Linked DNA regions of Caenorhabditis elegans. The protein of the gene in region 1 purifies or fractionates together with the protein of each later gene. This does not show direct contact. Each region holds a gene or a part of one and is shown on either strand. Other genes may lie near its edges.

Region 1 (3,038 bases):
TTTCATAGACTGTTACGTAACTGGTTATGACTGTGAAAATAGGAAACATAATGTTATTGTTAGGGACAAAAAGATAATAATACTCAACTTTTGTGTAAATAATATATTAGTTAATTTCCGTTCAGCAGATACCTTTCACGCAGTTGTCTAATAGCTTAATTGTACAGGCCAAGAACAGAAAGTGCATTAAATATGAATGCGTTTCATTGTTACTATAAAACCAATAATAATTGCATTTTTAAAATGAAGTGCAGACAGGCTAGGCAAAAACATTACTCAAACGACGCTGCCGGGATTTCATTTTTATCAAATTGGATAATTTATCTTTTGTGTTAATGTGTTAATATAAAAATTAAAAAAAACAACAAGAACGTCAGTCGATAAAAATAGGATTAATTAATAATTTGAAGGTAGTTTTTTATGCGACCTTCAACGTACAATTCTTTACACATTTACTAAAAAACCAAAAGCAATAGTTTGAAGCAATTTTATTCATTTATTTTAAAAAAATTAAGTTCTTAAGAATTGGGTGATGTTAATGCTGTCACTGTATTATTTTTATCTCTCATGAATATTCGAAAAATGATCAATGTGTTGATTAAAAATCCAAGATTTCTAGAGAGAGTTGCAAACGACGAATACGTTTCATAATCAGCTGATTCAAACCAAAAAGTAGACATGACCGGAACAAGATTGAATAAAATAAGAGTTGTTGAGTCAAGCATAGCTATTTGGGTAGCCTTAAATTTATGAATTGCTTATATTTTAAAGGTACAGCACCTTACTCTTGAATAAACTTGAGCCGATTGGTTCTGTGCAAGAACAGTGTAAACAACAAGTTTCCCTAATTGCAATACTGTCAAAACGACGATCATACTGAATACAATTTTTTCGTGCTCTACCCAATAAATACTGTAGCACTCATTGAAAGAACAACGGAAATGGTCGCAGTTCATGGGAGTATCAATAGTATTCCCACAATATCCGAACATGATAATTTGATCGAAAATTATCAAGGAAAAAATTAGAATAAAAATGGCAAATAGTGGAAGTTTGCTACGGTTTGCGCAATAGAAGAAAGGGAAGAATAGAGAAATGACTCGATCCAAAGTAGTTAAAAATAATAGACTTGTTCGAATGATTCCAAATATAATAGTAAGCCATAGTGTGATGAAAATGAAATTTTTAACGGCAAATATTTCCGAAATCATAACCGCCAAAATGTACAATTTGAAATTACTAACTGAATCAAAATTGAATTGAATTAGATTTTCAAAAACTTACTAGAAATACTGTATCCAATATCTGCAGCAAATCTTGTATAGAAAAGAGACAATTCAGATTTGAAAGTGACTCTTTTAGAGCAGAAAATTGCTAATAAAAGGATCAAATTTAGGCAAATATTTGAGTAACAGACTATGACAGTAATAAAGGAATATATAAAAACAATAGTTGACATTATTCTGGGCTCTTTAATAGTAAAATGTTTTTGTGAACAGAAGTTACTTTTCGTAGGGTTTCAGACGTTTCTCAGCTATCAGCAAGTTCTACAATAGTATCGATAGCATTTGTGACAAGCCTCACTAGAATATGAGATAATTTCCGTTGTGCAGTTATTTCACAACCACAAGTAGTTGTATAGGGTTTTATTCTTACTCTAACTAAAATAATAAAAAAGTTCAATGTTAGAAGGAATTGTTTGATTACTGGACGAAAAATTATTATTACTTGGGAGCCAGAACCCGCCATTTGTCGGACGCTGCTTCATTTTATGGAAAATAATACTTTGGTGACTTATAAAGATGATGGATCATATTGATATTGCATTTACTGTTATAACATTTTGTTGTGAACTTTTTCGACTTTTGCAAAGATTTCCAATTCTGTTCTTCTGAAAATTTATTGAGTTCATACCGGCTCCTTTTTCAAATTCGCTCAAAATTATTCCTACCTGGAAACTTATCCCGCACGACACTACATCTATCAGTGTTGCCCTGTATTGTGAAGACAAGACGAAACAAACAAAGAAATGGGAAATTGTGTTTGCGGTAAGTAGCATATAAAAAAGAGCTTCAAATTGATCAAGAATCAGCCTGAAAAGCTAGCTGTTTCAGCCAATTTTTTGCCGTCAAACTTACTTGATTCCAACGGAATTATTGAAAAACCAAATGATCGCCAGATTGATTCCAAGTGGAAGCTCAACAATTAGAAAAATAATCGCTGTATAGATTATGATTTTTGTAGACTTCGTATTACTATCGGTCTTGGATACCAGTTTCCGAGATTTTTTAGCTTTTCGTAGGACGTTTACAAGAAAAAATGTGACTATAGGAAAGAGAATCGAAGGAATGATCTGAAAATTTGTTGCGATCTACAGTAACCCTTACAGTAACCCCTCACTACTTTGACACTATCCCCACTATCACTTCAAATGAAAAAACTCAAATTTCCAGTATTAAAGTAATCCTACAGCTTCTACAGTACCCCGATACTATCTCCAAGTATCTCTTGTAAAAACAGAAACTAAATTTTTCTAGAACTAAAATAATTCTACAGTACTCCTAGAGTGTCCCTACAGTACCCCTACTGTACCACTTCGGACTCCTACAGTACCCGACACTATCTTTTCATAAAACAAAAAATCAAATAAATAGAGCTACAGTAGTCCTATTACGACATTACTTCCACAGTACCATTACAGTACCCCGCCACTATCCCTCACTATTCTTTTGAAAAAACAATAACTCAAATTTCTAGAATTACAGTATTCCTACAGTACTCCTACATCACTATTACAGTAACTCGGCACTGTCTCTTCAAAAGACAAAACCTCAATTACTACAGTAATCTTATAGTACTCCTACAGTACCCCTAAAGTACTACTACAGTACCCCGACACTATCCCCAAATATCTCTTACAAAAACGAAAGCTCATATTTCTGAAACTACAGTAATCATACAGTATACCCACGGTACCATTACAGTTTTAAAAAAACTTACATGAGAAATCATTGCATTTGATGTGGAATATAGTTTTA
Region 2 (4,603 bases), on another chromosome or scaffold:
GTTTTTCTTTCGAAATTTTTCGTTTTTCGGGGCATTTCAAGTTCAATGAAGCAAAATGACAATGTTTTCAATAAACTCACCAAAACATCAAGCCTAGAGTCTCCATTGAAATCGCCAACTGAACATTCAACAAAATCTGCATTCAGGCTGGGTTTACTGATGGCAAACGATGTTCCTGGTGTGAATTTGGAAGCTTCGAGCTGAAAATTTCAAAATTTTTATGTGAAATTTCAACAAAAGAAAAAATAAAAACTAACCACATCAAGAAGTTTAGTTTCTTGATAATTAATCGTCAATGTTCCATTCGCAAAAACCAGAATATCAGTATTCCGATCTGCATTGAAATCTCCAAATGCACATACTTTTCCAAGTAAATCGGGAGCTTTTTTCTCGAGTGATAGGCTTCCACTAACCAAATTGATGAGCCATATGATCGGTAATATTTTTTTCATAGTACCTGAACGTTGTTTTGTTTGAAGAGAATAAGTTCGGTGGAAAAAGTATGAAATACGGTCAAAACGTTTAAGGAGAGTTTAAATCAATTGGGATAGAGATTTTATGACTGAATGCATGAAAACTTATTAAAAAAGTATGAAAGAAAAATAATGATATAATAGTGAGCAACAATGAGGGAGCCTAATGAGTGGAGAATACGCCTAAATGGGATATTTTTTTGATAAATGGGAAATTAAGAGGGGATATGGCAATACTCGGTGGAAAATGTGTGGCTGGCTCTCAGGTATTTTTCGCGAATCTCTTCTTGATTGCCGGAATTAATTTGATGTGATCATCAGCACAAACAGAGACACACGAATCGAGCTTCTCGTTGAAACTGAGCTTCTGAAATGCGAGGATTTTCTTAATTTTTGATCAATTTTTTTTTAATTTTGTGAGAAATCAGAGGCGTTAGGATCACAGAAATGTGTCTTATAAATATTTTTGCCATGCCTTGCTAAAGGCGCACGGAATTTATTAAGATGGGGCTCAGCGCGTAAAGAAAATATATTTCACTTTTCTGTTTCTTCCACGCCAAAAAACAGAAAAACACATATTTTTAATAAAAAACTGGTTTACAACAATTTTTAACATGAAAATGTTTTAAAAAAAGGCAAAATTTGCTAAAATCGAGGTAATTGCAATGAAAAATGTAAGGAAAAGCAGCTGCAAAAAATATTAAAAACTACCATAAACTTTTTTCCGCGCCGAGACCCTTCTGAATAATACCGTGCGTCTTTAGCGATCGCTAAATTTCTACCAAATTGATAATTATCATTAATTAGAGACGACAGAAAGAATAGAAAAGAAAATGAATCATTTTAGATTTCATAATGTTACATTAAAAAAAAAACACCCCTCGATACAAATCTTATGAGGGTCTAACTATTAAAATAGCAAAAGTAATACAAAACTAAAAATCGATGAACAGCGTGGCACTTGATTGGTGATTCATAAACCCCCGAAATTTGCATAAATAGTCATCAAAACTCGTGATGAAAGAATGGAGAGTGCGAGACAGACACGCAAAAAATCCGCAAACACCGTTACGACGAATTGCACGTTTTTCGTTGCACTTGCGTAAGTACGTTTTCCTTTTGTCACCATATCTCTCGTCATTTCTTAAAATATTTTATCTGGCAATTAGATATGTCGGAAAGAGACGCTATTAGAGCTTTTTCGCATATGCTCGAAACCATCTTCGTCAGTAAGTTATTTTATGAGAAAGCATTCAAATTATATATTAAATTAAGGAATGCGAGCGGAAGGTACTGGTTCACAAACAGATGCGATGCAAAGATGGCTGGATTTGTATAATGTTGGAAGTTTGCCAATTGACAAAAAATCATATAAAGCGCTGAGACTGATGGATCGAGAGACTACAGATCAACAGAAAGAAGATGGTATGAGAAACTATTAAAATTGAGCAAAGCTTGTATTTGAAAAAAAAAACACTCAGAAAAAATGCTGACTATTTGCCTAAATAATCTATTTTTCAGCAACCTGTGCAATTTGTTTGGATAACTTGCAAAACAACGTCGATATTCCTGAAGATCATGTCATCAAAGAGGAATTAAAAATTGATCCAACAACGTTCGGAACCACAGTTATCGTCATGCCATGCAAACATCGCTTTCATTATTTTTGTCTCACTCTATGGCTTGAAGCTCAACAAACTTGCCCAACATGCCGTCAGAAGGTCAAAACTGATAAAGAAGTTGAGGAGGAGGAGAGACAGAGAAATCTTGAAGAGCTTCACGATTCAATGTATGGATGATTTATAATTTAAATCTTATTTCTATTAAATTCTTCTTCGACAAAACTAAATTAATTTTCAACCCAAACTAGCTTTTCACTGTATATACTTTTGTTTTAATTCCAAAAAAATGTTCCACCAAAAGCTGTGAGCTATGAGCCCCCTCGGGTGTTGATTTTTTAAATCCTAAATTAATTTATAAATTTTTTGATTTCTAAAATTTAATAAATCTTCACACCTGTGATTCTGAATACTTATTGACATCTGGACCAAACTGTTGAACAAGCTTATCATAGCAAGTCATTGCACAGCGTGAGAGCTGGTCTTGAAGCCCTCCGAGCTCTTTTTCAAGATAGCCTTGCGCCTTTTTCATGCCATCGTTGCAGCTTTCAACGCAGTTCTCGACAGCATCGCGTGTGGTTTTCTTGTTGTCACAGCACCTGAAATAATGCAAAAAATTTTCAATTGCGAAGTTAAATTAGACATTTTCAGGTGGTTTAGCGTAATACAAATTGCTTACTAAACATATTTAGTGTAATTTCGAAAATAATTACCGAGCTGAGCACTGAAACATGCTCTTCTGCATATCCCTCAAATAGGTCTTATCCAAATCGTCAATCATCTCATCGACAGCCAGCTTTACTTTCATTTGAGTAGCCTCCATCGTTGAGTTTGACATATTTACCCTAAAAGTATTATAAAATTAAATTATTTATTGTTAACGGACATGTGAAAATCAATTTTCGAAAGTAAACGATATGTCATTTATGAATGACGCAAGAATTAAAGGATAAAGGAAGATAGCTAAAGCTCAAAATTTATAATCCCAGATTATACTTCCTTTCGTCATGTTATATGCAATTTAATTATTCTATATATTGGAAGTCTAAACTAAAATAAAATATTTCGTTTCATTAAAGAAAGAAACCAACGAACAAAAAAAAAACGAAAAGCACAAAGAACGCGCAAAAAATAACCAAAAAACAAAAAGAAATCATATCAGTTGACAAGAATTGCGCAAGTCGAGTGCTGACGCACTTCTTGATTATGCGAAGCTGGCGCACTTCTCGATGAGCTTGAAAGTCAAAGGCGAGTATACTGTAGTTGATGAATCTGAAATTAAAATTGAGAGAAATCAATTAAAACGGTGGCAAATACAACGTTTACATGCAAAAATTGTGTGAAATGTCGAGATTTCAAAATGTCGTTCCGAAAATATTGCGAAAATATTGCAAATTTCAAGAAAATCCCAAAATCAAGAAAGTAATTGTATTATAAATAGTAAAGTGTTTGTAAAAATCAATACGTTATAATAAATAGAGATTAAAATATTTTATTTTTAAATTTTATTATAACGTTGCTTTGACACAAAAACCATTCATGAAATGCATTCACAAAACTGTTTCTGAAAACTAAAAAAACAAATAATTTGGTCAACTTGTTGTTATTTCAAACAAAATACTCAAATCTTCTGATCTTTTTTCTCCTGTTTTAATAAATATTCGTTTTTCTCCTGTTTTCTCACAACTTGGGAATGGAAATTACAGTACTCTTTTAAAGGCGCACACCATTTTACAGCTAAATTGCAATTAACAAAAGTTTGTCGTGTCGAGACCGTATTTTTGGTACAAAAATCGGGCCGCTGAGTTATACTAATTCTTTTGAATTGTCACACTTCCAAATTCAGAAGTGACATTCTGAAACCGGAGCTCCTTTTTTTCCCGAATATTGCTCCTCGGAGCATCCTTTCGATCCGATATTCCTTGTGTTTTTCTTTGTTTGTTTAAACCGCCTACTTTTCATTTTTGTCCCTCTCGCTCTCTCTTTCTCACACGTTCTGTCTCTCTTAACCTCCTCCATTTCCATTTCTCGGCTTTCTTCTACTGCTTCGAAGCCAATGATGCTCAGCTGAGCCAAATAGAGAGACAGTGCGCATTATGAATAGACGTAGAGTCATATATGGAGACGTCTTTCTCTCTCTGAATCTGGAGCAACTCTCCTGGTTTTTATTCTTTTCCGTTTGAAGCTTTGAGCTCTGAATTTGGTGTCACACATCCACGTCATTGGACAAATTATTGGGTCATTTTGTCTCCCGGCTTAACCACATCGATTTCATGTTTGTTTCGTAATCCCCACCTCCCTCCTGTTCCCCGCAAACAGCTTTACAAATTTTTTGAAAAATGTGATTTTAAATTTAAAAAAAACTATAAATTTTTTTTGTTTGTTGAAAAAAATTATTTGAATAAAAATTACATTTCCAATTATTTTTTAGCGAAATATATTATTGAGTATTCTATTGAATAACTGCAGCCATAAAAACATTTTGAAATTGGAATGTTTTGTTCAATTACC

Evidence for each region. Proteins that work in one complex are often made in the same cells at the same time.
Region 2: the proteins of srbc-68 (region 1) and famh-136 fractionate together in Caenorhabditis elegans (co-fractionation; one large-scale study listed by BioGRID). This does not show direct contact.

Annotation. Positions count from the first base shown.
Region 1 is NC_003283.11:3,545,159-3,548,196, forward strand, and holds srbc-68 (G-protein coupled receptors family 1 profile domain-containing protein), read right to left. Parts: upstream 1,460-3,038; coding exon 1,285-1,459; intron 1,244-1,284; coding exon 786-1,243; intron 741-785; coding exon 519-740; downstream 1-518. Other genes in the region: srw-130 (G-protein coupled receptors family 1 profile domain-containing protein), read right to left, coding at 1,811-1,891, 1,952-2,093, 2,139-2,353, 3,001-3,038.
Region 2 is NC_003281.10:8,886,085-8,890,687, reverse strand, and holds famh-136 (FAM161 homolog famh-136), read right to left. Parts: upstream 2,938-4,603; 5' UTR 2,931-2,937; coding exon 2,806-2,930; intron 2,692-2,805; coding exon 2,490-2,691; exon of another isoform or gene 2,273-2,489; coding exon of another isoform or gene 1,995-2,272; intron 1,899-1,994; coding exon of another isoform or gene 1,749-1,898; intron 1,703-1,748; coding exon of another isoform or gene 1,645-1,702; exon of another isoform or gene 1,532-1,644; intron 841-1,531; coding exon 736-840; 3' UTR 545-735; downstream 1-544. Other genes in the region: lnkn-1 (Protein linkin), read right to left, coding at 81-200, 258-452; putative RING finger protein ZK637.14, read left to right, coding at 1,645-1,702, 1,749-1,898, 1,995-2,272. UniProt on the Caenorhabditis elegans protein: May play a role in locomotion and behavior.